Linked DNA regions of Sus scrofa. The protein of the gene in region 1 interacts with the protein of each later gene in a pairwise test. Links are inferred from orthologs where the notes say so. Each region holds a gene or a part of one and is shown in the gene's direction. Other genes may lie near its edges.

Evidence for each region.
Region 2: the proteins of LNX1 (region 1) and DCTD interact in a two-hybrid assay, tested with the Homo sapiens proteins (2 studies listed by BioGRID and IntAct). The link is inferred for Sus scrofa from reciprocal best matches to the Homo sapiens genes LNX1 and DCTD.
Region 3: the proteins of LNX1 (region 1) and MAPK9 interact in binary tests that used the Homo sapiens proteins (3 or more experiments, as listed by UniProt). The link is inferred for Sus scrofa from reciprocal best matches to the Homo sapiens genes LNX1 and MAPK9.
Region 4: the proteins of LNX1 (region 1) and KCTD6 interact in binary tests that used the Homo sapiens proteins (3 or more experiments, as listed by UniProt). The link is inferred for Sus scrofa from reciprocal best matches to the Homo sapiens genes LNX1 and KCTD6.
Region 5: the proteins of LNX1 (region 1) and FAM118A interact in binary tests that used the Homo sapiens proteins (3 or more experiments, as listed by UniProt). The link is inferred for Sus scrofa from reciprocal best matches to the Homo sapiens genes LNX1 and FAM118A.
Region 6: the proteins of LNX1 (region 1) and GRB2 interact in binary tests that used the Homo sapiens proteins (3 or more experiments, as listed by UniProt). The link is inferred for Sus scrofa from reciprocal best matches to the Homo sapiens genes LNX1 and GRB2.
Region 7: the proteins of LNX1 (region 1) and POMGNT1 interact in binary tests that used the Homo sapiens proteins (3 or more experiments, as listed by UniProt). The link is inferred for Sus scrofa from reciprocal best matches to the Homo sapiens genes LNX1 and POMGNT1.

Annotation. Positions count from the first base shown.
Region 1 is NC_010450.4:40,437,735-40,441,981, reverse strand, and holds the start of LNX1 (E3 ubiquitin-protein ligase LNX), read left to right. Parts: upstream 1-1,447; 5' UTR 1,448-1,819; intron 1,820-4,247.
Region 2 is NC_010457.5:44,468,595-44,472,094, reverse strand, and holds part of DCTD (deoxycytidylate deaminase), read left to right. Parts: intron 1-737; coding exon 738-854; intron 855-2,187; coding exon 2,188-2,284; intron 2,285-3,500. UniProt on the Homo sapiens protein: Catalyzes the deamination of dCMP to dUMP, providing the nucleoside monophosphate substrate for the thymidylate synthase/TYMS.
Region 3 is NC_010444.4:78,337,096-78,341,265, forward strand, and holds the start of MAPK9 (mitogen-activated protein kinase 9), read left to right. Parts: upstream 1-1,370; 5' UTR 1,371-1,528; intron 1,529-2,515; exon of another isoform or gene 2,516-2,587; intron 2,588-4,170. UniProt on the Homo sapiens protein: Serine/threonine-protein kinase involved in various processes such as cell proliferation, differentiation, migration, transformation and programmed cell death.
Region 4 is NC_010455.5:40,209,369-40,213,296, forward strand, and holds the start of KCTD6 (BTB/POZ domain-containing protein KCTD6), read left to right. Parts: upstream 1-1,128; 5' UTR 1,129-1,363; intron 1,364-1,406; exon of another isoform or gene 1,407-3,928. UniProt on the Homo sapiens protein: Probable substrate-specific adapter of a BCR (BTB-CUL3-RBX1) E3 ubiquitin-protein ligase complex mediating the ubiquitination and subsequent proteasomal degradation of target proteins.
Region 5 is NC_010447.5:4,089,085-4,092,584, reverse strand, and holds part of FAM118A (protein FAM118A), read left to right. Parts: intron 1-317; coding exon 318-570; intron 571-3,467; coding exon 3,468-3,500.
Region 6 is NC_010454.4:5,939,423-5,943,522, forward strand, and holds the start of GRB2 (growth factor receptor-bound protein 2), read left to right. Parts: upstream 1-1,300; 5' UTR 1,301-1,431; intron 1,432-4,100. UniProt on the Homo sapiens protein: Non-enzymatic adapter protein that plays a pivotal role in precisely regulated signaling cascades from cell surface receptors to cellular responses, including signaling transduction and gene expression.
Region 7 is NC_010448.4:165,215,841-165,219,340, forward strand, and holds part of POMGNT1 (protein O-linked-mannose beta-1,2-N-acetylglucosaminyltransferase 1), read left to right. Parts: intron 1-935; coding exon 936-1,347; intron 1,348-1,496; coding exon 1,497-1,624; intron 1,625-1,882; coding exon of another isoform or gene 1,883-1,969; coding exon 1,970-2,040; intron 2,041-2,274; coding exon 2,275-2,350; intron 2,351-2,532; coding exon 2,533-2,616; intron 2,617-2,705; coding exon 2,706-2,747; intron 2,748-2,956; coding exon 2,957-3,015; intron 3,016-3,339; coding exon 3,340-3,412; intron 3,413-3,493; coding exon 3,494-3,500. UniProt on the Homo sapiens protein: Participates in O-mannosyl glycosylation by catalyzing the addition of N-acetylglucosamine to O-linked mannose on glycoproteins.

The DNA of each region.
Region 1 (4,247 bases):
AGCAGACGTTTCCAGGCTGAGATAGAATCGCTCAGCTTATGGATGACTTATGAAAAGAAGCTCCTAACTGTTAGGCTTCTAAGTTAAAAAGATGAACTTGTGATCAGGCTGAAGCACACACGAAAGCCACGAAATTTATAGGGCACTTCCTTACAGGTAGATCAGAATCAGAGTGGAGGAGTTCCCATCGTGGCTCAGTGGTTAATGAATCCGACTAGGAACCTCAAGGTTGCGGGTTCTATCCCTGGCCTCACTCAGTGGGTTAAGGATCCGGCGTTGCCATGAGCTGTGGTGTAGGTTGCAGACACGGCTCAGATCCTATGTTGCTGTGGCTGTGGTGTAGGCCAGAGGCTATAGCTCCGATTAGACCCCTAGCCTGGGAACCTCCATATGCCATAGGAGCAGTCCTAGAAATGGCAAAAAGACAAAAAAAAAAAGAATCACGGTGGACAGCCAGGTGACAGCAGCCAGCAGTGCCCCCGTGGATTAGCAAGAGGCAGGGGTCCCTGGGCTAGGTGTGTTCTGTGTGCAAGTTACCGAAAGGTAGCACCGATTCATAACTCCAGGGCAAGACCGCTTAGCTAGCTGATGATCTGTGGTTCTGTTTAGAATTCCATTCCCAGATCGAAGAGTTTCTTTGGCCACCACCGGAGCTGTCAGACCACAGAAGTACCTAAGCCAACAGGCGGGAAAAACAGGGCTTAGAAGAACACCCTTCCAGAAAGGCAATTTCTACATTTTTAACCAGCTGGGTGACTTGGCAGGAGTGACTTAATCTTGCTAATCCTCAGTTTCTTCATCCACAAAATGGGGATGAGAACTATACGCTTATGTCAAGGATTAAATGAAATAATGCAGGGGAGGTCGTTAGCCCAGGACCCAGCTGACAGTAAAGTCTCCATAAGTGAAGTAAGCAAGCAAAGACAGTGCCGCTGCTGATGACCGTGACCTGGAAGAGTAGGTAGAAGAAATCCTTATTGAAACGATAATCCTGTATCTTTAGAGGGTATCTTTAAATGTCTTATCTATATCGTTAAAAGTCTTAGCTAGTGTCAGCCATGAACTCGCTCCCTCTTTTTCTTTGTCTAAAAACATTTGCCAGTGTTCCGTTACGAGAGATGCTGCCTATGGAAAATCTTTGAAAGATTTGGCAAGGCATCGGAGCGAGTCAGGACTGCTTGATTTGTCTGAGATAGATTTCATGCTTCTGAGCTAGAGGCACGCTTCTTCGCAGACTTAAAAATGAAAAGATGCCCAGGATTCTGAGACCCGTCCAGGCAGTGGCCAGCTCCCGCCTGTTCAGGAAGTGGTCCTAGCATGATGATGTCCCAGCCTGGTGCTGACCTGGAGGGGCAGTGACCCTGTGTTTATTTCCTTGTTGATTTCCCTTCCCTGGTTCCAAGCTCATTTTCCCATTGCCTGCAGGAAAACAACATCCAGGGGTGCGGTAGGTCTGATTTGGCAGCTCTAAAGGTGAACAAAAGGATCCTGGCTTTGGCGAGAGCAGGAGGAAGTTGGAGGGGGCCTCGGCCCCATGCAAACCAGAGCAGACTTGTTACCGATGCTCCTGGGTGGCTGTTCTGCGGGGGCCTCTCTCCCCTGGTTGATGGATCAGCTCTGTGCAAAGCCTGCAGACGGGGCCTGGGATGAGCTGATGAACTGCAAAGCGGGGTGGTTCTCATGCGTGTCTGGAAGACAGGCCACAGGAAAGAGGAAGAGTATTTTTCTGGGCTACTGCTGAGTCAGAAAAACTTAGCTCCCAAATGGACTGTACCAAGAGGTCTTACCTGGCTGGAAACTGATTCACAGCACAGCAAAGGTAAGAGGCCTTCTTCCTCCAGAGGGTGGCATCAGACAATTGGAGAAAACTTTGCCCCAGACTATCCCAGCCCAGCCTCCACCCTCACCCCCACTGCACTGCACGCAAACACATGCATACACACACACAGACACACACACACCCAAGATGTTGAGAACCTAGAGATATCTAGGTCTGTCTTTTCCAAAACACTCTAGAAAGGCCTCAGGATATTTGCTCTCTTTAGGCTTGATTTATTTTTTTTCTGCATTCTTCACGACACCTCTTCTTTTATTTTCAAAAATAAAAACTACATATATACATATGTAAATTTTTTTTTTTTACTGGCCAAGCAAGTCAGTAAATCATAAGTAATCCCACTAATAATGATTGGGTTTCTGTGACATTATTCGTCATCAATACTCAAAATACATTCACGCATTTTATCCCATTTCGGCAGTAGAAATAGGCATCATCACTGCACTTTCACCTACAGAGCAACTGAGGCCCAGAGCAGTGGACTTGCCCAGCAGCAGGTAGGAGGTGAGACAGTCCATCTCATTGCCGCTCCGCCTCTTTTCAGCAGACTAGTGACTCTCCTCTCTAAACCAAATACCAGGCTCCATTCTCTGCCACATTCCCAGCACACGATCTGATGAGAGGATGGAACCGGAGCAAGGAACTCCCCTGGACAATCCAGAAACAGAGAGTCACGGGGTCTAGTCCAATACGCCACCGCATTGTATATCCCTGTCTGCTTCTCTCCATAGGCATTGACTCCAGTTCAACAGATGTTGATCAGCGCTGGCCCATGTGCCCAACTCTGGGTCACGTGTCAGGGCGCAGGGCAGACTGGATGCCCAGGTGGTGCTGAAGGAGTGGGAGCTGGGAGAGGAGTTTGTTTATGAGAAGGCTTTCCATGGGAGGGGAGCCTTACACCAGGCTTAGCGTGACGTGCAGACTTATATTGAGGGAGAGCAATGCAGATCAGCGCACCCCTCCCCCTGTCCCCTGGCCGCCCCAGGTAGGGAGGGAGTGAGCATTTACAGCAAGACTGGCAGCGGAGGAGCAGAGGGGGTACTGAGCAGACTGGGAAGGTAGACCATCTGGATATGACTCTTGGTTCTACCGCCTAGTAGCTGTGTCCTGGGGTGACTCAGATAACCCCTGTGACCTCAGTCTTCTGACACGTAAAGTGGGAACAGTGGTGATGCCTATTTCATGGGGTTGTCTTAAGATGTCAATGCGATGATGCATGTGAAATCTTTGCTGGCACCCAAGTGCTCAGTTCATACTAACTATTTAACTGCCATGTACCTGGCTCCATGGGAGAGGAGCCCTACCCTCAACTGGACCACAATATTATGGGTTAGTTGTGTGTAACCCACTATAGGCAGTGTGCTAAGTGCTGTGAGGTCACAGAGGAGGGATCGGTTAAGGATACTTGGTTGAGTGTCCTGGGCGGTCTGTTGAAGGGAGAGGGTCGGAGGAGAGGTTTCATGGCAGAAGCCCTGTTGTAGTAAGGTGGCTTGCATCAAAGCTATACTGATTTGATTTTTTTAAAATATATTTCTGAGTATTTATATAAATGTTTAATTTCCTATAATATACTGACTTGATTTTGAATAGCAACTTCAGCCCCACCAGATGCGTGGTATGACTGTGTTAGTCTGCCAGGCTGCATAACAAAGGACCACAGCCTGGGTGGCTTCACCAACAGAAATGTACTTTCTAAAGTTCTGGAGGCTCTAAGTCCAACATCAGGGTTAGGCCACTCTGCCGGGCTTGCAGAGGGCCCCCTTCTTACTGTGTCTCACGTGGTCATCCCTCTTTGCACCTGCACCCTGGTGTCTCTCTGCATGTCCAAATTTCTTCTGGGAAGGGCATCAATCAGGTTGGATTAGGGTTCACCCTAGGGACCCCTTTTTGATTTACTCACCACTTTCAATGCCTCATCTCCAAATCCAGCCACTTTTTGAGATACAGTGGGGCTTTAGAATATAAACTTGAAGGGACATCATCCAGCCCATAACAATGAGTTTGTTTCTAAGCCTTTCCAAGCCTTTTCACTCAACTAGAAGATGGGGACAGTACTTGACATGGACAGTACTTAACATGGAGACCCACTGTGATCATCACAAAAAAAAGACATGGAGTTCCTTCCCATTGTGGCTCAGTGGTAATGAATCTGACTAGGAACCATGAGGCTGTGGGTTTGATCCCTGGCCTTGCTCGGTGGGTTAAGGTCCTGGCTTTGCCATGAGCTGTGATGTAGGTCGCAGATGTGGCTCGGATCCCGCATTGCTTTGGCTGTGGTGTAGGCTGGCAGCTGTAGCTCCAATTCAACCCCTAGCCTGGGAACCTCCATATGCCACAGGTGCAGCCCTAAAAAAAGCAAAAAAAGAAGAAAAAAAAAAGAACACATGAAACACCTCTCCCAGCCAGTTTT
Region 2 (3,500 bases), on another chromosome or scaffold:
CCTGCGGATAAGGGGCTGGAAACACCTAGCTGCATAGCCTGGGGGAGATGGGTGGGCTTTAGCAGGTGCCAGAGAGGAGAGGAGGGAACCTCCTTAACCTTGAATTCAGGCGAGCCTGGGGACGACCTTGGATCATTGGTGGAACGGGCCACTGTAGCAAGAATCTTGACTTTCCATTGTCATTAAGTGGATTGGATAATTTTCATCCGGAGGACAAACTACTAGTTGTCCTCGGGCGTTTTGCTTGGGTGTATGTGGGCTGAGAATGACAAGGTGCGTCAGATCCCTAGGGATGGAAATGCTCAGCTTCACTTCATGATTCTTTTGCTCTTAAAATTGCTCTTTGCCCTCCTAACTGCCACAGTAAATAGCCCCACCTGTGCATATCAACACACAAATGAGCTGTTTTATGCTGCCAGTTCCACACCCCAGGGTCTTGTGGAGCAGTGAGCTATTGCTCTGCTTGGAGTGGGTGAAGACACTTGACCTTGGTCCCTCCTGGCCCCTCGAGGTGCTAACAGACACAGGGCTGCTGCACTCAACGGTTTGGCTGCTCATCCTGTCCGACCACATGGTCCTCATTTCTCGGTTCTTTGCATTTCTAATCAATTTTTTAACAATTGAGTCTATTGTCTGTGTTATTTGAGAGAGGGCACAGAAGATGCCTCATCCCTATTAGCAAATTCTTCATGAGCTGCAGTCTGAGTTTTTCTTTCTTTCTCTTTCCAACCCACCAGTGTGCCACGCCGAGCTGAATGCCATCATGAACAAAAACTCGGCGGACGTGAAAGGCTGTACCATGTATGTCGCCTTGTTCCCGTGTAATGAATGTGCTAAGCTCATCATCCAGGCAGGTAGGACCCGGGCCGTTTCCATTTGTCACATTTGCATTGCTACCTGCTCACTGCAGATGTGTTTGATCTTAAATTGTGATTGTTTAGATCTAAATTAATTGCACTATCAGCTCTGCAAGATATTTCCATGTTTTGTTTTTGAATGGTGCCAGGTATTCTAAGACTAATTGCATCCTCTGTGATTCTTAGCATGTTTTTAATTTGGTTTGCAACTTCTTAAACTGCAAGCTGCCAAAAACAACACAGGCATTGCATATAATTACTGTCAATTTACTATTCTCTGACATATTGTGCATAGATTAGGGGGAGGGAGAGAAATGAACTTCTGTCAGAAACAAGGTCAGCTGGGAGGCTGTATATGAAATTTTAATTTGTATCTAATATCTGGTAGATATTTGAGGACCTAAACATCTCTTTGCATATAAATGTCACAAGACTCAAATGGTACAACTTTACATTTTCCTTGCGTTACGGTTACCATAAATCTACACCCTTGTGTTTGGACTAATTCACCATTCTCAGACTGTCACATCTAAGACTCAGCTACCCTTTAGCTCCATAAAACTCTCAGCTTGAGATTTAAAGACGTAACATGTTAGCCAGATGTGTGGCTTAGCAGGGCTGTTTGTCACAAGCCTGTGGATCTCTGAGCAGAAGAGGTCTGTCGGGATCAGGGTCAAGGGCCTCCGTTAAGGAACATCGTGGGCTTCCTCACTGGTACTGCCCCATCCTTCAGGACTTCTCCTCACCATCCTTAAGCAGAGACGCGGCAGCGGGCATGTGTGGGGATCAGCTTCCCGTGGTCCCCTCCGAGGCTGGTGGAGGAGCAGGGTGGAGTGTCAAGTGCCCTCAAGTGAGCCCCGCTTGGTGAGACAGGGAAGGAAAACAGATCCACCCTCTGTCGAGCTGGCTGCACGCGGTCTGTAGAGCTGTTCTTGGAAGCGCAATGGACCTGATCTCTGATTTTGCCAGTATTTTCCCTAACCCCATTAGCCTCTTGAGTTAGGAGTCATTGCCTTGTGCAAAAAGAATATTTGACTGCCATCAGTAAAGAAAATTTGTTAATCGGATCAAGGCTTGACTATTTGACATGTTTTCCCTTTGCGTGTACTTTTTAAAAAGTCCGTAAAAGACTGGAGGGCAGATTAAATGTAATCCATCCACTGCTGTATTTGAAAGCAGCAGATGCATGTTTGGGTAACTGGACGTCGGGGTGTTCTCTTGCACACTCAGGAAAGGTGCTTAATCAAACACCACCAGGGCTTCTGTCCTTAGGTCTGTTGCACTCTCTCGATGGCCTATAATGAGGTTTCTTCCATTGTTGCCTTTTAAGGGATAAAAGAAGTTATTTTCATGTCTGATAAATACCACGATAGCAATGAGACAACAGCGGCGAGGCTCATGTTTGAAATGGCCGGGGTTTCCTTCAGGTACGTGGGAAGCCCTTGGGGGAGAAGGTGGTGTGAAGACTTGATGAAGAAGTACATTTGACCTTGTCTGACATCTCATGTCTCCTTGTGATGCCTGACTTCCCCACGTGGAAGCATCTTTTTAAACTTGAGGTGCTAAGATTCGGAAGATACTCTAAGCATAGATATTTTTGTTTCTTTTTTTTTTTTCTAGGGCTGCGCCTGTGGCATATGGAAGTTCCCAGGCTAGGGGTCTAATGAGAACTGCAACCACTGGCCTACACCACAGCCACAGCAACGCCAGATCCAAGCCATGTCTGCAAGCTGCACCACAGCTCACAGCAATAACTGGATCCTTAACTCACTGAGCGAGGCCGGGGATTGAACCCACATCCTCAGGGAGGCAACTTAAGGTCCTTAACCCACTGAGCCACAGTAGGAAATCCAGAGAGATTTTAAAATTTACTAGTTGGAGTTCTCATCGTGGCGCAGTGGTTAACGAATCTGACTAGGAGCCATGAGGTTGCGGGTTCGGTCCCTGGCCTTGCTCAGTGGGTTAACGATCCGGCGTTGCCGTGAGCTGTGGTGTAGGTTGCAGACACGGCTCAGATCCCGAGTTGTTGTGGCTCTGGCGTAGGCCAGTGGCTACAGCTCCAATTCGACCCCTAGCCTGGGAACCTCCCATATGCCGTGGGAGCGGCCCAAAGAAATAGCAAAAAGACAAAAAAAATAAAATAAAATTTACTAGTTAACATTAAACCCTTGTAAATTTTTCAGATGTAACAACTCTGACATAAAAAATTCAGGGTGAAAGTAACCTGCCAGGTTGAAACATGGGAATTCTTTCAACAGCAATAGTTTAAATTGAGATTTGGAGTCACTAGGATTTATATGCTTGTCTTTGCAAGGCAGGGATTGGGAGGTATGAGTTACTTGTGATTAAGTTCAACCACCTTTGGTTCCTGGTGGAAACTTCTATTGAGACTGAAAACTTTCTTTTTTTTTTTTTTTTTTTTCTTTTTAGGGCCAAACCCACGACACATGGAGGTTCCCAGGCTAGGAGGCTAATCGGAGCTGTAGCCACGGGCCTACACCACAGCCACAGCAACACCAAATCCCAGCCACATCTGCAACCCACACCACAGCTCATGGCAACGCCAGATCCTTAACCCACTGAGCGAGCGAGGCCAGGGACCGAACCCGAAACCTCATGGTTCCTAGTTGGATTCGTTTCCAC
Region 3 (4,170 bases), on another chromosome or scaffold:
TCAGGAGCTACAATTTCAAGGAGGGATGTGCTATACTCAGTATCCAAAGTGGGAGTGGCCTGAGGGGGACACCATAGCTGGATCCCTTCCTCCATCCTACCCCTCTTCTGAGGCCCTGGTACCCCCAGCCTGGCCCTGGGTCACAGGCTTGCCACTCTCTCCAAATTCTGCCACCCCACCCCTTAACCTCTTCCACTGCAGAATCCTGCTCCTTCCTCCCGGTTTGGCCTCTGTCCTGGTCACCTGTAGTCCTGGTCACCTGTGAGGGCTGTCCCTCCTTCACAGTCCAACACTCTCCCCACCCCAAAGTCCAATTCCCCTCACCCCATCCACGGACCTCTGAGCTTTTTTCCAATGTGCACAGCCTTCTTGTCTCATTTCTGGCTTTGTTTATCCAAACACAGATCCAACAACACTCAATACTCTGGTCTCTCCCATCATTTCACAGGACTCCAGACCTGCTGGAACCCGACCCAGAGGCAAGAGGGCTGCAGGAGATGCTTCAAGAGGTCAGTGTCAAAAGCCCCCAGGCCCTAGGGGGCCGTCAGCTCTGCACTCTCTTCCCATTTACAACTCTGCCATTCTCTGAGACAGAGGCTTGACCTTTGCTTCAGGCGCCCCAGCCAGTTTTCTCTTCGCCTGTGTCACAGATCTGCCCGCGACACTTGTTTACACACGGCCGTCTCCTCGCATCCTCCTCCCCGACTTCTGGAAGCATTCCTCCAAACCCCTTCACAGTGAGCAGCGGAATCCAAGGACCCTATCTCGCCTCCCGACTCCCTGGCCGCCTCTGCCTCAGCCACCTGGCCCTGGATGCAAAATCCCAGCTTCTCCTCGCCCTCGCCCCGGGCTCTCCCCGAAGAGGGCTCTCCCCGAAAAGGGCCAGCTCCGTCTTCCTCCAGGCCAACTCGTCCCTGCCAGTCTGCACCTGCAGCCCGGTGGCCAGGCCCTCCGTCCTACCGGCCTGCCCTCTCCACCGCCTCCCGCCTCCTTGTTCGGCCGCCGCGCTGCTGGCCCCCGTGCGCAACAACGAACTCAGCTGGCGCGCAGGGCCGTGCCTGAGTCCACCAAGCGCGGACCCAACCTGCAGTACGGCCGCGGAGCCCGGGTCCCCGCAGAAACCGGCACTGAGTGGCCTGGCTCCGCCCGCCGCCCCGCCTGCGCCTCCTGACGGTAGCCCCCCCTCCTCAGCGCGATTGGCCGCGCTTGCCAGGCTTACCGCGAGCTGATTGGTCTTCACGCGGGTCTGTCAGGCTGGGCGCCGCGGCGGCGGCAGCGGCGGCGGCGGAGGAGGCTGGAGCCAGACCGGAAGGGTCCGAGCGCCCCGGCGCCCCTCACACCCACTGCGGCGGCGGCTAGTGGCGGCGGCGGCGGCGGCGGCGGCGGCGTGGCGGAGCGGAGCGGGGCGGGGCGGCTGGCCGAGCCCAGGGCAGCGGAGCCGCGAGCCGCGAGCCACGACCCGCCAGCGCGCAGCGCCGCCAGTCCGCCCGCCTGCCCTCTCCCCCAGGCGCGGCGGCAGGGAGGCGAGGTGAGCCCGGCGGGCGGGCTAGGCCCGGCGGGGACTGCTTGGGCCAAGCCCTGCCTGGGGGGGGCGGCAGGAGGGCCGCGCAGCCAGGGTCCGTGGAGGAGTGGAGGGCGGGGTGGGGAGTTGGGTGTCGCGGGGCCGGCTGACCAGTTCTGAGGAGCCAACCGGGTTCTGCTGGATTCTGGCGACCCTAGTCGCAGCCCCCTGTCTTCCTGGCTGTTGCAGCCGGGAGCTGAGGGCCCGCTCCCAGGTCTGGCCTCGGCCGACCTGCCTTAGGGTCTGTAGGCGCCACCCCTCCCGATTGTTTGGCACGCAGCTGCACACCCGCTTTGGGATGCTCAGAACCCGGGGTCTGGTTCCTGCGACCTTGGCAAAGGCATTGACCCTCGCTATTCCTTGTTTTTTCTCTCGGAAAGTGGGGGAAATGTCTATCCTTTTGGACAGGATTGTTGTCAGACCATATGAATATTTGTAAAAGCGCCTGGGGAAGAGCTCATTGCACATTTGGGGAAAATTGGGCGGGATACTGCCCCTTGCTGGTGCGAGTGTGGCAAGACCCCCCCCCCCCCCGCCCCTTCTGCCCAGAGGCCCCCATCCTCTAGCTCCTCCAGTGCCTCGTCATTGCACACTCATGCCCAGCAACGCCTGAGCGGGCCCTGCCCACCCCCCCCCCAGCTCTCCCCACTCCCCTAACCCAGAGCACTGCTCTCTTAGCCTACCTGTCTTACTTGCTGTAAACAGGCAGCCCTGTTTATCTCAGGACCTTTGCACTGGCTCTTTCCAGCAATTGGCGTTGTCTCTGGGCTCTTGGCACGGCTGGCTCCTTCTGGTCCTTCTTCTGGTCAGATGTCTCATTTTACTAGAGGCCTTCCTTGACCACCCTCTTTCTTCCCTTAGTCATTCTATCTCATGTTGTTTAATTTTCCCCTTAGTATCTGGTTTAAAGCTATTCTATTGATTTGCCTGTTTATTTTCTGTCTCTCCCACTAGGATGTAGCTTTATGAAAACAGGTAGTTGTCTGATTTGTCCACTGCTTTATCCCAGTGCTTAGAAAGCACACAGTAAGTACTTAGTAATACCAGTTCAATGAATGAATGAATGACCCTGCCCACCTGTTGCCTCTGTTCATTTAGTGACTTCTGACTAACTTGTGAAACTTGTATGCAAATGGAAGCTTGCTCTCGTTTTTGTGGAACATTTTTAATGTCCTTGACCCCTTTATTTGGTATCTGTCAGAACAAGCTGTGATATAAAATCTTGCATTTTTATAACGATTTTTAGCTCTAACTTCCTTGCACACATTCAGGAGGCATTTACTGAACTCTGCATTATCTAGGTCAGGTTTTTTGCCCTGGGGACATAAAGCCAATAGCAACAGGGTCCCTTCCTCCAGAGAGCCCAAGAGCCCAGTAAAGAAGGCTGATATGCAGACAGTGCTAGGACAGCTTGCTGTAGAGGAGGGGCTGAGCCATGGAAAGGTGGAGGGGGTGATAAGTGGTCCTGGAGTTGGGCCTTGTACAATGATGAGAAATTTGTCAGGCAAGGGGAGGCAAGAAGTGGGAAAGGGCAGGGAAAGGATTCCTCCCCAATGTGGCTCAGGAATCAGCCTTTGGGGCTAGGTGTAAGAGAGGTTGGAGTTAGAGGGACCCTGGAGAACCAGATCTAGCTCACCCGGTGGTTTTTAAAGTCAGAACTCTACATTTGTATCTGTACTCTCTTGATTTTTAAATGTTAGCAGTAGCTAATTAAAAAATATTTTAAGTGATGTAAACCATGCAACATACAGACCTCATTCAGCTTGGCTGTTGACCTTCTGGGCGGGTTGTGTAGGAGGAAAAGGTTGTAAAGAGCTGGAAAGGTAGCCTGAGGCCAGGGGAGCTAGACCCTGTTTATCCAGGTACTATCACTTAATGTGCCTGGAGCCCTGTGATGGCAGCTATGAAGCCCATTTCTGCATAGGAGGAACCAGAGACTCCCAGAGTTTCAGCAGCCTGTTTCACAGCAGGCAGATGGAAAGTGAAATTTGAACCCAGGTCTCCCCCACCCCACCCCCATCAGCATTCTTTTCTCAGTTCTGAGTTTTCTCTTTTGGCTCTTAATTTGTTCTGGAAGAATAGCATCCAGTCTAAATAATGATTTCCTTCACTTTAACCCTTTTTTTTCCCCTTCAGAAGACTCCTGCAGAGTTAAAAGTAATCCTATTTTGGCATAGTCTTCTCTGAAGAGCTTTGATTCTCCTGAGGATTTAATTTTCGGGAGACCAGGACTTTAAATAATTTGTTGACACATTAAAATGTGTTTATTTGGCCCTTCTAAATAAATGTTAGACAATGCACCTCAATTTGCCCGTTTAAAATAAAATCTTGGAGTTCCCGCCGTGGCGCAGTTAACGAATCCGACGGGGAACCATGAGGTTGTGGGTTCAGTCCCTGCCCTTGCTCAGTGGGTTAACGATCCGGCGTTGCTGCGAGCTGTGTATAGGTTGCAGATGCGGCTCGGATCCCGCGTTGCTGTGGCTCTGGTGTAGGCCGGTGGCTGCAGCTCCGATTCGACCCCTAGCCTGGGAACCTCCATATGCCGCGGGAACAGCCCAAGAAATAGCAAAAAAAAAAAAAAAAAAAAAAAAAAGGACCAAATAAATAAA
Region 4 (3,928 bases), on another chromosome or scaffold:
TTTCACACACATTTACCTGTATCCTCACGTAGTCTTTTTCAGTATGATAATGTAGCACTCAATTATGTTGATGAAGCATATGTCATTTATTTAGTCTATTGATTTGAGTTTTCAGAGAAAACCTAAATATAAGATATGACTGTGATGATGATGCAGATAAAATTAAACCCCAGAGACAGCTGATGCATAGGCAGACATAAAGTACAGGTGAGTTTCCAAGGCAAGTAGTTATCCTGGTGAAGGGGAAATGGAAAAAACCAACATTGCATACCTGGTCTCACCTGGAAAGGGATGGAGATCTGGTTAGCAGGAACCGAATGGAATTTGGAGGCTATGCTTGGAGATCACTTAGCTCTGAAACTTTAGGTAATGGCCCCCTCTCTGCAGCCTTGGCTTCCTTCATGGTGAAATGAGGGCTGTTCCAGCGCCAGGGTCATCTAAGGACAGCTCTTTCAGCCCTCGGAGCCCTGGCATTGGTCGTTTTCTCTGCTGAAGTCACCTCTGCCCTTCTACCCCCCTGGCCTCCCACGTTGACCCTTCAGGCTTGGCTGCCTTTCCCTATTGTGCCCACCAGGCTGGATAAGTGACTTTACTACCAATCCCACAGAACGCAAGGCCCAGAGGTGCTCTGGTCACAGTCCGGGTCTTCCTTAGCCACCGCACCTGAAGCAGAGGCCCCCTCCGCTTATATCTCCATCTAATTCTTCTGATCATGTACCTCCCAATACATAATGATCATAGCTTGTCATTGTTTTATCTACTGGCTGTTTCCTTGGGTCTTTTCTCTTTAGGACGTCCCTGCCTCTTGGTGGCCGCTCTCCCCACAGGCCTGGCACATGGGCAGGGCCCCATACGTGTTGGTTAAATGACAGAAGAAACAGCTGTGGGTATCCTAGGCCTGAGAACACTGGGAAGACTGCCCTGGGCTGGGCTGATTCCAAACTGCCGGCGGAGGCGGGACCTAGGGCGGATTCTGGGCGGGACGCGGAGAGTCTCGGGCGGAGCCTCTGGGGCGTCAGGGCGGGGCTTTGGGGCTGCGGCGGAGCAGGCCTAACCAAGCAGCCCAGGCTACGCCTGGTTGAGTTCCACTGGCCGCTCGGCCCTCCGGCCACCCGCCCGCGCCGCCGTCAGGGGGCGCTCTCGCTCGCGGCGCCGCGTTTCTACTGGGGAGGCGCCGTCCGCTCCGGGCGGCTGGAGCCGCAACTCCGGGCGCGGGCTCAGTCGTCCCGTCTGCCGCCGCCGCCGCCACCGCCGCCTCCGGGAGCGGGCTCGCTCGTCCTCGCGGTCTCACTCTCCGGCCGCCGGCGTCTCCCGGCCCGGCAGCTGCCGCCGCCGCCGCCGCCGCCGCCGCCGCCGCCGCGCAGTGAGTAGGGGCGGGCCCACGGCTTGGGGGCCCGGGGCTCGGGAGGGCTGGGCACTAGAAGCCCGTGCGAAGCGGCCGGGGGAGGGAGGTTGAAGGGAAGCCGGGCGGTGGCGGGGCCCTGCTGAGGGGACCGCTGGGAGCCCGGGCGGCGCGCTCCGGGGCTGGCACGAGCCCGCGGCGGGCTGTCCGCGGCCGAGGGGCCGGCCTTGTGCGGAGGTTCCGGAGCCCGCCGGGCGGGAACTTGCGGGTTCGGCGGACCCGGGTTCGGGGCTCCGGTGCGCGCCCTCTGCCCGGGCCCTGAGCGTCTCCTATCCCTCGCCAGGGCCGGGTCGGGACTGGGGGCTCCGCCTGCGGGCAAAGTGCAATCTGGCCCGCTCGGGGGCACCTCGAGGTTTGCTCGAAAATGGTTGTTTTGGGGGTGGTGCTTATTCGCCCCTATTTGTCTTAATTTAAAGACATTTGGGGATTTTCTGCCCCAAAGAGACACTCTGACCGCAGCTGAGTTCTTTAGGCTGAGATTTGTATGTGTCAGGGCATTTTTAATGCTGCTTGTCAGAGGTGATAAATGGCCGCGTTAATGGGGAGCCCCTGAAGCACCTGCCAGGCTGTCGGAGGCTGTGTCGGGGCGGGGGGTGGTGACGCGCAAATGAAACAGAGATCTTGTTTGGATGTTCTGCTGAAGTTATGTTGCTGTTCACATATAGCTGTTCTATAACAAGTTGATAAATCCAATTTTAGGGGTTTGTAATAGAAGAGATTTGAGGGGCCAAGAGACCCGAAGTGACCTAGTTTGGCTAAGAATATTTGGGGAAGCCTAGTTGCCCCTTCCTGTTTCCTCTTCTCTTGGCATGTTGATTTTCTTGCTGTCACAAATGCCCAAGTACATGAATGATCCCAAGATAGGAAAGATTCTAGGGGACAGCCTTTAGCACAGGACTGAGCCCAGGATTGAGATGTTTTCAAATGAACAGATGTGTAGCTAGGAAAAGAAAAATCTTTTTGCCTTCATGGCTGTCATGTTGGGAGAACTTGCTCTTTGGTTGGGAACTGTCAGGCCATACTAATGCTTCATCTTGTGTAATGCCACAGATAATTAGGAATTGAGTGGTCAGGACAGCCATTTTTAATGTTTGTGTGATTTGAATTTTCATAAATCATATTTTAACTAAAGCATTACTGTGTAAAGGAATTCTTGGGTGAATCCTTCTATGAATCTCTCAGTGTGTCTTGGATTTTGATATTTGGAGTCTTTTTAAAATGGAATACACATGTTTATTTGGATTTGGCTTTGCCTTGTGGATAATCCTGAGTCATGCTTTAGAGAAGTTCCTTCTGTGTTCAAGGGCTCAGATGTCTGATGATCTCTCAAAGCCAGATACTCCCATTTACCTGTTGTTCCCCCTTCTGAGCTCCTGAGAGAGGAGGATTAGGAGAGATTGGAAGCAAATTTACCCTGTCTCCACACCCGTGCTCAAAATCGTGTTCATTCGCACACTCAAGTTTCTCAGTTTACCACAGAAACTTTGTTGATGCTACTGCCATTCGTGTTTTCACATTTGTTTAATACTTGCCAGTTTACCAACAATTTTCTAATCGTAATCTCAATTTGTTTTCTTCAAGAAGAAGCTGGGCATAAAGAATGATTTACTCCGGGTCTCATAGTAATGGAGCAGACCTGGGATACAGATCCTCACCTGTGTCCAGTTCTTTATCCTCTCTGCTGGCCTGCATGTGACTTCAGAACCGTACTCCCGATCTGTTACCCTGTAGGCCAGTTGTCTTTATGTTGTGCCTAAGTGTTATCATTACTTTTGGGAAGGTGGTATCATTCTGTTTTACCTTATAGAAACGGAGGGTAAGAGGAATTTTTATGGTTTCGTGACTATTTGTGACAATGTTTTAGCATTAAAGTCATTTTTCAACTTAAAGTGCCTTCCTTCGAGAACTCATGGAGAGAGGAGAGAGAAAAAAGAATTAGTTTTTGGACAACACAGTCTATTTTTGCAGTGGTTCTGGTTAAGGATAACCTAACACCATAATCACATTCTCCTTGTGTGCCTGGCTACTTGTGCCAGTCTGTACGTGAATGTTAACCCAAAAGACTCCTTTAGATGTCGCTGAACTAGTTACTATAAAAAGTGTTTCACTTTCAAACTCCCACATTTCAAGAACAGAGGAACTCAGCACAAAGGTAATTTTGAAGGTATGTATAGATGGAATTTATTGAGTTGTCTTTCCTGAATGCCAGACACAAAGAATTGAGTAGAAAGGCATTTTAAAAGGGCTACTTGGAGACTTTGGGAAGGCAGTAGTTAAATAGGTTTTTATTATTTATTCAAGTTTGGAGGTGTGTATTGCAGTATATAGGTTATTGTGTAGGAGCAGGACTTTTGTCCTGGAGTATTCTTAGTCTTAGTCTGTAGCAGAAGTGATAAACCCAGACTATTTGTGCTACATTAGTTCATCATAACCATGAAGCCCATAATTGGGTATCTGCAGTGGTGAGGAGAATGACTTTCAGGGGTTCTAAGGTTCTTTAAGTCATTAACTTGTTGAATGGTGCCT
Region 5 (3,500 bases), on another chromosome or scaffold:
GCTGAGCCACCATGGGAACTCCATGCTGAGCTTTTGTGTTTGCAAACATATTATCACTTAAATGTGCACTCAGCACGGTAGGGGACTCAGGTAAATAAGACGCACCCATCCCCAAGTCCCTTCTGGAAAGAGGCTAGAACATGTGAGGTTAACACACAGGCTCTGTTGCCATCAGTAGAAACTCAGGGACGTTGCCTGCATGTCCCGTCCCTGCTGGACTTGACCCGACCCTTCGCAGGCCCTTCCGGGCTGCACTTTCTGCGCGTTCCTGGACTTCATGTTGACCATCCCTCTCTCCCACCCTTGTTTTTGAGCAGAAAGTTTTTAAAAAGCCTCATCCGGAAACAGCCTCAGGAGCTGCTCCTGGTGATGGGGACGGGGGTCAGCGCGGCCGTGGCCCCGGGAATCCCGGCGCTCTGCTCGTGGAGGAGCTGCATCGAGGCCGTCATCGAGGCCGCCGAGCAGCTGGAGGTGCTGCACCCGGGGGATGTGGCCGAGTTCCGCAGGAAGGTGACGAAGGACAGGGACCTGCTGGTGGTCGCCCACGATCTGATCCGGAAGATGTCCCCGGTAAGCCTCTCGGCCCAGCCAGCGTGCGGGCGGCAGCAGGCTCTGGGCCAGGTGGTGAAGCTGGGATGGAACGTTTCGATTCCCACCAGCCCACGTTGTGTCCGCGCCTCCCGGAGGGCGCCGGCCAGCCAGAGACGGTTCAGTTCACCAGGGGATGCCAGGCGTGCTTTGGTCCCCCGACGCAGTCTGTGTTAAATGGAGCCTGGATACGTGCGCCGTCTCGGGGGGTTCACGGTGCAGCCCTGGGGGGCTCCTCGAGGGGGGGGCGGGCATCCAGGTCTGTTTCTGGTCTAGGCGGGCCGCCACATCTGCACGTGACGAGACGAGTGGCTCCTAAACATTAAAGACGGGCGAAGACACAGCTTGTTTGTCTGCAGGAGGAGGGGGCCAGCAGAGGAAGAGCAGCTGGTGATACAGGAGGCTGCTGGGCAATGCCCTGGGGTCAGCGGTCCGACAGGCCATGTGGTAGAGGCCCGAGGCGCGCTTCTTCTCATCGAGTTGTTGAGGACGGCCGGCCGTCACCTGCGCCTTGCGGGGTGGATGCTGGAGGAGTGACGAGGAGGCCTGGAGACCAGCACGCAGGGTTCAGGGTTCGGGCGCCTGCAAAGAACCCAGAGTGCGTGGCTTCCACGTGGCCGCACTTACAGTTCTTTTTCTTTTTCTTTCTTTTCTTCTTTTTTTTTGTCTTTTTACGGCTGCACCCAAGACACATGGAGGCTCCCAGGCTAGGGGTTGAATCTGAGCTGCAGCTGCCGGCCTACACCACAGCCACGGCAACACCACATCCTTAACCCACTGAGCGAGGCCAGGGATTGAACCTGTGTCCTCATGGATGCTGGTTGGGTTCTTTACTGATGAGCCACGACGGGAACTCTCTGCACTTACATTTCTGACATTGCAGTCCGGTGGGGGGCAGTCCCGGGGAGCGCGGGGGCTCCCTCGTGGTTCTGCCATCCTCACCGCAGTGTCTGCCTTGTGCTTAAGGTTCGCCACGCTGCCTCCTGCCGGAAAGGAGTGCATCCAGCTAGTGGGGGCGGGGGGCGGCAGGGGACGGGGGGCGGCGGGGGCGGGGGGCGGCCCTTAGGGCTCTGAGGCACACCTCACTTTGTTTTCATGGCCCTGGCCATAGTTTTACCCATGGCCCCCCTGGCTTGACTGGAGTCTGGGAAGTAGTTTTAGCTGGGTGGCGATGCCACGTGTGGCAGCTGGCATCACAGGGGGTGGCTGTGGCTTTTTTTTCTAAGTAAAATGCACCCCATTGGTTTACACATTTTCTAGCACTGCTTTCATGCTTCACCAGCAGAGACCGTGTGACCAAAATAGTTTGCTCTGTGGTCCTTTACAGACAAGCTGCTGAGTCCTGTTGGGGTGGGGGGTGCAGGGTCGATGGGCCGGAGTGGGGCTGCAGGACGCTGGGTGGCTCGGGGCCCCTTAATCAAGGAGAGGAGGGTTGGGAGGTTACATGTGTGTGTTTTCGGGAAGTTCCTTAAAAGAAGAGTCAGGCCGTTCAGAACCAGAACGGTGTGTCCCCGTGGGGCCGGGCAGGTGGAGCGTTGGTTTTATCCGGGCTGGGTTCGCCCGGGGAGGGCCCAGACTGGGAGAGCGTATGTGAGCAGCAACCCCAGTGGCACATGAGGGGGTCTCAGCTGCTTCAGGGGACAAGAGAGGCTGTGGGGACTGAGACGGGCCAGTGGCAGCCAGTTCTGATGGGGTGCCATCTCCCGGGAGCCGGGTGCTAAGACCCGAGCGGGTGGGGGAGAGGCTGGACCAGGGCTTCTGGTAATGACGAGGTTTAGGACGTGGCCGTAGGCGCGGATGGCAGAGGTGGGACGAGACCACTGGAGGCGAGGGGTGAGGAAGGCAGAGGCCATGACGCCGAGAGGGGCGACTGTGTGGATGGGAAACCCACCTCGAACTGTGACAGAAACACCGCCGCCGAGGGGCCTTGTTGGTGAGCGGGTGCCACCCGCACACTCATTGGTCAGGGCATCAGGGTCCCAGGGACGTGGGGAGCTGACTTTCAGTGGAGAAGGAGCATGATGGTGTGGGGAGGGTGGACTGAGGGTGACTGGGGGTCCAGAGGCCGGGGGTGTGGGCATTCCCGATGCGGGGGGGGGCTGGGGTGCAGGCCAGCCGTCCCGCCAGTCCCAGTGCAGGGCTGGGTGAGGGGCGCTCACGCCGGGGAGCACGAAGCACCCCCCTCTGCTCCCTTCACACTGAAACTCTTCGGAGGGGTTGTTGCTGTTGCCGGTGGCCTCCCTCTCGCCAGCGTGGCCCAGCTGGGCTCCCAAGGTGGCTCTGGTCAAGGCTGCCAGTGACTCTCGGTGCTGCATGCAGGGGCCAGACCTCAGCCCTGTCCCGCTGGCTCTCTCCCGGTGTGACCCGATTCCCAGCCCAGTGGGGAAACCGGTACCTCTGTGGCTGTGGCACAAGGAGAGCCACGGTCTTCACTGTGGCCTCTGGGCCCCCGCAATCTGGTTCCGCAATCTGGTTCTGGGACAGGTGCGCTCACTCCCCTCTGGAGACCAGGGCCCCTTGCTGCCCTTGGCCCGGCCTGCGCTGTTCCCTCTGCACCCCCTGCCAGCTTGGATCAGCCCCTCCAGGGCGCCTCGCTCCCCATTGGATGCCCTGTGACCTGTCCACCCTTTGCCCTGCGGGGCCAGCCCCCTCTCCGCTCTGCTTTCCCTGTGGCGCCCGTCACAGCCGACCTCTTACTTAGAGACTTGCATCTTGCCTCGGCCTCTTCCAGAGTTCTAGGCTCTGCGAGGTCAGCGGTTTTCTTTCTGTTTTAAAAACACTGCTGTGTGCCCAGCTCCCGGGCTCTCATCAGCTGCCTAGGTGTGGAGTAGCTGCTGAGAGACGCTGTTTCTCCTAACTCTGGCTCCACCTCTCCGCAGCGCACGGGCGACACCAAGCCCAACTTCTTCCAG
Region 6 (4,100 bases), on another chromosome or scaffold:
CCACAGCTCACGACAACGCCAGATCCCCAACCCACTGAGCAAGGCCAGGGATCGAACCCGCAGCCTCATGGTTCCTAGTCAGATTCATTCACCACTGTGCCAGGACAGGAACTCCCACGTTTCTTAATTTTTATATCTTGCTCTTTTGGTGGCTTCCGGAATTCACATCACCGTCAGATGCTCTGTTCTCTCCTTTGATTGGGACTGAAAAATAAGAGTTACTCCTCCAAGCCTCATCTTCTGCCACTACCAGGTAACTCACCCCGCCTCATACAGGAATCAAACTACTTCGCGTTGCAGGGAACACGATGCCCACGCCTCCGTTCCCTCGTACGTGCGTGCTGTTCCCTTTGCCTGGAATGCCCTTGCAATGGCTTCTCTGGCAAACTCCTACTCATCCTCCAAGACAGCTCAGATAACGCCACAGCGTTCTCCGAGAACGCTTTTCTGAGATGGGAGGAGCGGCGACCCCTCGCCTCTCCTCAGCCTTCTCCAAATAATTCTGACCGTACTTATGGTATTATTTGTTCTTTCCCTCCTATAGATCTTGAATTCGTTTCTGTGCAGAAAGGGCCCGGATTTCTGTTCTTAGTTGGACCCTCTATACTTGACACAGTGCTTAGAATGTACTAGGCACTTGGTTCAATCGATGAGCGAACGAATATGTTCATTCACCTAACGCAGCAGAGTTTGTTTGGACCAGATTCTCAAATATTTCCAGACCTGATCCTCTATTTGGCTTGCTTCACGTGGGAGGGAGATTCCCCCCCAACCCCGCCAAACTGGGTTGGTGGAAGGGGAAAACGAAGTGATTAGGGTGTGCATAAAAGTCCTTTCTTGGCTGGGGGAAAAATGTAATTGTAATGTATACATGTAAGGATAACCTGACCCCCTTGCTGTACAGTGGAGAAATAAAAAAAAAATAAGTTGATATCGGCCATCAAAAGTAATATGACAATTGAATCATGCAAATGTGGGGCATAAAAAAAAAAAAGTCCTTTCTTTCGGAGGTGAGTTGTAATTGACCCGCTCTGGCACCGAAAGGGTTACGGCGACCCAGGGGTGGAGCCCTGTCGGTGCCACCTGCTGCGGGGCGGCCTGGCGCCTGCGCTCTGGCCTGTAGCTGATCTACCTGCGGGGGGCCTGGCGGAGGAGGAGCGCTTGCGCTCTGGGCCTTTTCCGCCGGGGGAAGTCTCGCGGGGGCGGGGCGGGGCGGGGCCGCACAGGGAAGTTCTCGCGGGACCCCGACCAGGAGCGGAAGCGAGGCGGCTGTGCTGCTTCAGCTACCGGACCGCGGCGGCGACGACGAAGACTGTGGCGGTGACGGCGGCGAGAATAGGCGCTGCCCTCGGGGAGCAGCAGAGGGGTCTGCGGCCGCTCGCACCGCTGCAGAGGGGCCGGCCGGGCGTGGAGCGGAGCAGCTGCGCCACGGTGAGTGTGGCTGGCGGCGACGGCGCTGCTCGCGTGCTGCTTCCTCCCCGCTTCGTCGCGGGAGTCGGCCCCGGGGGACCGGGCCCAGGGTACCGTGGGCTGCCGGGCCTGGGGGTCGGGAGTGCGAGGCTCCGGGCGGGGAGCGGAGCGCCCGGGCTCCGGGCTCCATGTTTCCCCTTTTGGGGCGCTTCCTTCCCGGGGACCGTCCTCTCAGTACCCTTGGCTTGGAACAGAGCCCTGGACGAGAGGCTGGGGGCTCCTGATTTAATTTTATGCTTTCTTCGTGAAGGTTTGCACAGGGGGGACCCGGAGAAGCCCGAGAACACAGGGTAATCATTCTGTGAGTCAGTGTGACTTGGCCCGGGAGGCGGGGGATTCGAGGCGGGTTGCAAATATGGTGATTGATGCTCCTTCGACCTATACGGCCACCACGTCACCAACTCCTGGTGTTTGGGGGCCGAATTTTGGGAGGAAACCCACCAACCCTATTAATACTGTGAGCGAGGACGTTTGTTACCGGAGCCAGTAGAAATACCTTTACTTTTATTGCGCTTTTTTTTTTTTTTTGACTGCTTCCCTAAAAACATTTGTTAAGAAAAGTAAGCAGCAGTTAATCGGAATGCTCCGAAGAAAGATTTCCGTGATCGAGGGCAGAGAATCGCTGGCACTTTTCATTTGCAGCTCTCTCTGTGTATAGGATTGTAAAGCCATGCTAGTTAACAGCTTATTTAGGGAGTTCACCTAGGCTGGCTTCAGATGCAGCAAAAGTATACTTTGCAGAAGAGCCGAAGTGCCCTCGCGGGTTCTGTCTTTTGCTACTCTTGAGTCTCAGAAGAGGGTGGAAAAGAAAGGCGCACTAGAGAAATTCGCTTTAGTCTTCTGGGCTTTCTAGTCCCTCTGTTCACTTTGCACTCCACAGTTGCTGCCTTTCTAAACTTCTCCCTTGTCTTCTGCGGCCACGAAATGCTTACTCCGTATAATGCAAGTCACTTGCCCCCTCCCCCCTTTTAGTCTAATCTACTTCCCCTTCCTCCTTATTGTCCCTTTTGGCATAATTTTTTGAGGTTTCTGCTCTTTCGCCCGTTCGTTTTTCTCCCTCATTTAAAGATTCCGTTTCTCTCCCGGAAAGATGATGCCCTCTTCCCTGCTTTATCCTTTGCTGTGAAGCGTCCACTGTGTTTCTTCAGTCAGCCAGAAGGGTTGCTAGAGAGCTGTGCGAGACTTAAGGTCTCCCCCTGGGAGCTGGGAGGCTCAAAGGATTGAGTTCAGCCGTAACCAATACTGCACTAATACTGCACTAGATCACAAGTGTAGCTTGCTGGTGTTTTTGTGTTTTAGTTGTTTTTTTTCACTTTTAGATCGCATTTTTGTGCCTGCTCAGGTTTTTCTATGTCTCTCTTATGTTAGTAAGGAAGATTGGGTCAATTTGGGGCTCATATGCCTTCTTTTTGGCTTTTAGCGGGGGAGGCGACTTAAAAAATGAAAACCAACCATAGACACCTATATTACAATCAAGAGAGCTTGAACCATTTAAGGGAATAGAATTTATTTAGACTACTGATGAATTAATTAAAGCTTGCCTGTTGGAGTAGTACTAACTTATTCTTTCCCAGGCTTTTAAAGATCAGGTGTCTCTTCCTGCATCTGCTATAAGCAGCCTTCTTTGTTATTGTTGCTGGGCTTGAGGGGGGAAGGCGGTTGACAGAAAGAAATAACTATGTTCTGTTGGCCTTTCCTTTGTTTAAAATGTTCTGAATCCCCCAAATTTAAAAAGGTTAATTCTTGTAATCAGCTTTGTTTGTTACTAAAAGCAAGCACTCAAATGCTTGAGGCAGTTTACTTCCTCAGCAAGTGTGTTCAGATTTGAGGGATTACTAGGTTTTTCAATACAACTAATTGATGGTACTTAGAGATTTTTCCCCGAAATTCTTGTTACCATGTTGCACATTGTGTAGCAACAGTTCTAATGGTTACTTAGAACAAAAAAGTAATAGATTTTGGAGAAATGAAGTAATACGGAATAGAGACCCACTATGGTTTCCTGAGAGAAATTAATAGTTATTCGCTTAATTCAGAAGACATTTCTGGCACTCCTGAATGACTATTGAGAGCCTTTGTTTTTTTTTTGTTTTTTGTTTTTTGTTTTTTTTTTGTCAAAGTTGGCTTTTTCACAGTTGTGCCAAGTGGATAGGCGTTATTTTCAATTTATGCAAAGACATTATGCATCATCTGAGATGTAAACTTTAAAATCTGGTAAAGATACCTTTACAGTACAGCATGATTTTTTAAATTTAGCATGCATAAGAATTACCTATGAATCTTAACTTAAAATTAGGTTCTGGAGTTCCCGTTGTGGCTCAGTGGTTAACAAACCTGCCTAGGATCCACGAGGACGAGGGTTCGATCCCTGGCCTCGCTCAGTGGGTTAAGGATCCAGTGTTGCTGTAAACTGTGGTGTAGGTCGCAGATGCGGCCCCATCCCACATTGCTGTGGCTGTGGTGTAGGCCAGCGGCTTCAGCTTCAATTCTTCCCCTAGCCTGGGAACTGCCATATGCCACAGGTGCAGCCCTAAAAAGACAGAAGACCAAAAAAAGAAAAAAAAAATTAGGTTTTGGGCCTAAGGCCACTGTGCTGCAGAACTTCAGAAGGCACCTCGTAGTGAATCAGT
Region 7 (3,500 bases), on another chromosome or scaffold:
TCCCAGCCTGGTCAGTGGAGAGCAAGACAGAGTCCCTACCATTATGGACTCTGTTGCAGGAGGCCAAGATCAAAAAAGCAACCAGACAGACGTAGAGTGTCAGGAAGTGATAACTTGTATGAAGAAGAAACTTAAGCACGGGAGCCGAGGTGATGGGGGATGCATTTCCCAAAGGGAAAGCTCAGTCAGGAAATGCCCTTTAAGCAGAAAGCTGGAAGTGAGGGGTGAGCCTTGTGAAGATGGAGGCAGAGCATCCTAGAAAGAATGGCAAGTGCAAAGCCCCCCATCTGGGGAGGTGCTCGGCATGTTTGAGACACACCAGGGCTGCCAGTGGAGCTGGAACAGAATAAGGGAGGGGAGGAGCAGGGGGGTGGGAAGCGGGCAGGAGGTGGCAGGGGACAGCAATGCAGACTCTGTGGGATCCGGTAAGGACCCATTAGCCTGGTGACCACGGGGTGATTCTCAGAATCTCTGCGATTTTTCCCTTTTCTTACCTGTGAAGCGATGGTAACCACAGAGGGCTGTGACAATTAAAAGCTGATTTGGAGTTCCCGTCGTGGCGCAGTGGTTAACGAATCCGACTAGGAACCATGAGGTTGCGGGTTCGATCCCTGCCCTTGCTCAGTGGGTTAACGATCCGGCGTTGCCGTGAGCTGTGGTGTAGGTCACAGACGCGGCTCGGATCCTGCGTTGCTGTGGCTCTGGCGTAGGCCAGTGGCTACAGCTCTGATTTGACCCCTAGCCTGGGAACCTCCATATGCCGCGGGAGCGGCCCAAAGAAATAGCAAAAAGACGACAACAACAACAGCAACAAAAAAGAGCTGATTTAAGTAAGAGGTTTTGCATCGTGCCTGAGACGCTGTAGTTGGTGTTCCCTGAGACCTGGCCTCCTGGAGCTGTGCCAGTCAGGCTGACCACCTTCTCTGGTCCCCCAGGACGAGGGCTCCTTCCACCTCAAGGACACAGCCAAGGCTCTGCTGAGGAGCCTAGGCAGCCAGGCCGGCCCTGCCCTGGGCTGGAGGGACACCTGGGCCTTCGTGGGACGCAAAGGAGGTGCCGGCACCACAGCCATCCACCCTGTAGAATTAAGGGCCTGGGAGGAGCAGAGCCCCAGGACTTGGGGGCGGGGGGCGAGGGGCAAATCGGAGCCAGTGGCGGTGGGCGGGATGAAAGTGGGCAGGGCGCTGGGAAGAAGCTCCAGACCTGGAGCCTGGGCTCGCATTGCGCCTCATTCCTGCCCCCTGCCAGGTCCTGTCCTCGGGGAGAAACATTCGAAGTCACCCGCCCTCTCCTCCTGGGGGGATCCAGTCCTGCTGAAGACAGATGTGCCCCTGAGCTCCGCCGAAGGTGCGTTAGTGGGGGCTGGGCTCCAGGGCAGCGCCCGGGCTGGGGTGGGCATTTGGGTTCTCTTTATGGGGCTCTATTCTATTCTCTATTCTCTTTTCCAAACCACACTGGCCTCACGCCCCCTCCTGTTGACCTCGTCCCTCCCTCAGAGGCAGAGTGCCACTGGGCAGACACAGAGCTGAACCGTCGCCGCCGCCGCTTCTGCAGCAAAGTCGAGGGCTATGGGAGTGTGTGCAGCTGCAAGGACCCCACACCCATCGAGTTCAGCCCTGACCCAGTGAGTGGGGCCTTGGGCAGTGAGGCCGAGACCCCTTTCCAGCTTGGCAGGGCACCCCAGGAAAGCAGGCTGAGTTTTGCTTACCGCAGCCTGGGAGGGAACCAGGAGCTGAGGCTGACTATGGCGCCAGGAGCCAGGGACGGGGCGTCCTGGTTGTGGGGCAGGAGCAGGCCCTGCGAGCAGAGGCCTGGGGCTGGAGTTGGACTGAGTGTGCGGAGGGGCCAGGATGCTGAAGACCCCCTGTCTTTTTTCCTGGAGCCCCGCTCTCCTTGGAGACTCTTCTCAGATGGGGGTCCCGGTTTGAAGAGAGCGGGAGGCAAACGCTGGACACTGTTTCTCCTTCAGCTTCCAGACAACAAGGTTCTCCACGTGCCCGTGGCCGTCATCGCCGGAAACCGGCCCAATTACCTGTACAGGTGAGCCTGGGAGCGGGCTGTTCCCAGCGCTGCACGGGAGGGTGCTCGGTGGGGGGAACCCCGGGCTCATCGCCCTGCATGAGGAGCACTTGAGGTGGGCGGACGTGCACCCCTCGATGCTATAGGTCCACGTACCCGTGTGGGTGAACGTGGGAAATCGGGGCCCGTCTGTGAGCACAGGGGAGCCCTTATGTGGGGGGATGAAGAGGCCTGATCCATCCCTGGGCTCTCCAGGATGCTGCGCTCTCTGCTCTCAGCCCAGGGGGTGTCGCCCCAGATGATAACAGTTTTCATCGACGGCTACTACGAGGTGAGTGGGGCTCGGGGACTTGGGGCCGAGCAGAGCGCAGGGTTGCGGGTGCTGAATCCCCGGGGCCTGGCCGAGGAGACAGCCCGGGCAAAGGCTGTGAAACGGGCAGGGTGGGGTGTCCGCGCCTGCAGAGGTGGGCCGGGCGGGCGGCTCGCGTGCTGACCGGTGGCCTTGCTCCTCAGGAGCCGATGGACGTGGTGGCGCTCTTTGGTCTGCGGGGCATCCAGCACACTCCCATCAGCATCAAGAACGCCCGTGTGTCCCAGGTACGGCCTGGGCAAGGACGGAGGGGGCAGACCCTGGGCCCTGCTGTCCACCCCAAAGCTCATGTGCCCTATTCCTGCTCCTCACCCAGCACTACAAGGCCAGCCTCACTGCCACTTTCAACCTGTTTCCGGTGAGTGGCACGGGCAGCGCTCGTGGGCCTGGGCAGGAGAGAGCGGGGCATAAGCCTGGTCTTAGCGTATAGCAAGCTCTTCGCCTCTGGGCCTCGTCGTCCTGCTGTGGAAGATGTGGGTCGTGCTGCCCGAGCCGCGGGAAGGAGGTGGGGGAGACGTGGTGGGGGAGACGATCCTTGGGGTCATGTGGTCCCCACCCCCCGCCCAGGAAGCCAAATTTGCTGTGGTTCTGGAAGAGGATCTGGACATTGCTGTAGATTTTTTCAGGTGAGAAGAGTGCTGTCTGTACAGCTCCTGTAAGCAGCCTGGGGCCTCTTGGCTTGACTGGCTCTCCGGTGAGGAGGGCAGTGAGGGGTCTCGGGGAGCTTTCTGGAGGAAGCAAGGTCCAAAGTGGGGGAGAAGCCTGAGCGAAGGAGGGATGGCAGGTGCCGGGGCTGGAGCAGAGAGTAGAAGGAGGAGTGGAGACAGTGGGGCTTGGGGGGGGCGCGGAAGGGGGCACGATTCCTGAGTCCCATCTCCAGATCTTCCAGCACCACTGGGTGCCTGGGTTTGTCCTTGCCCCTCCCTGAACCCCTGGGCCCTGCCTCTCAGTTTCCTGAGCCAATCCATCCACCTGCTGGAGGAGGACGACAGCCTGTACTGTATCTCTGCCTGGAATGACCAGGTGGGTGAGTGGCCAGGGGTCAGCTGGGGCATTTGCAGAGGCCGGAACTAATACGTCCCCCCGTGGCCCCCTGTCCCCAAGGGGTATG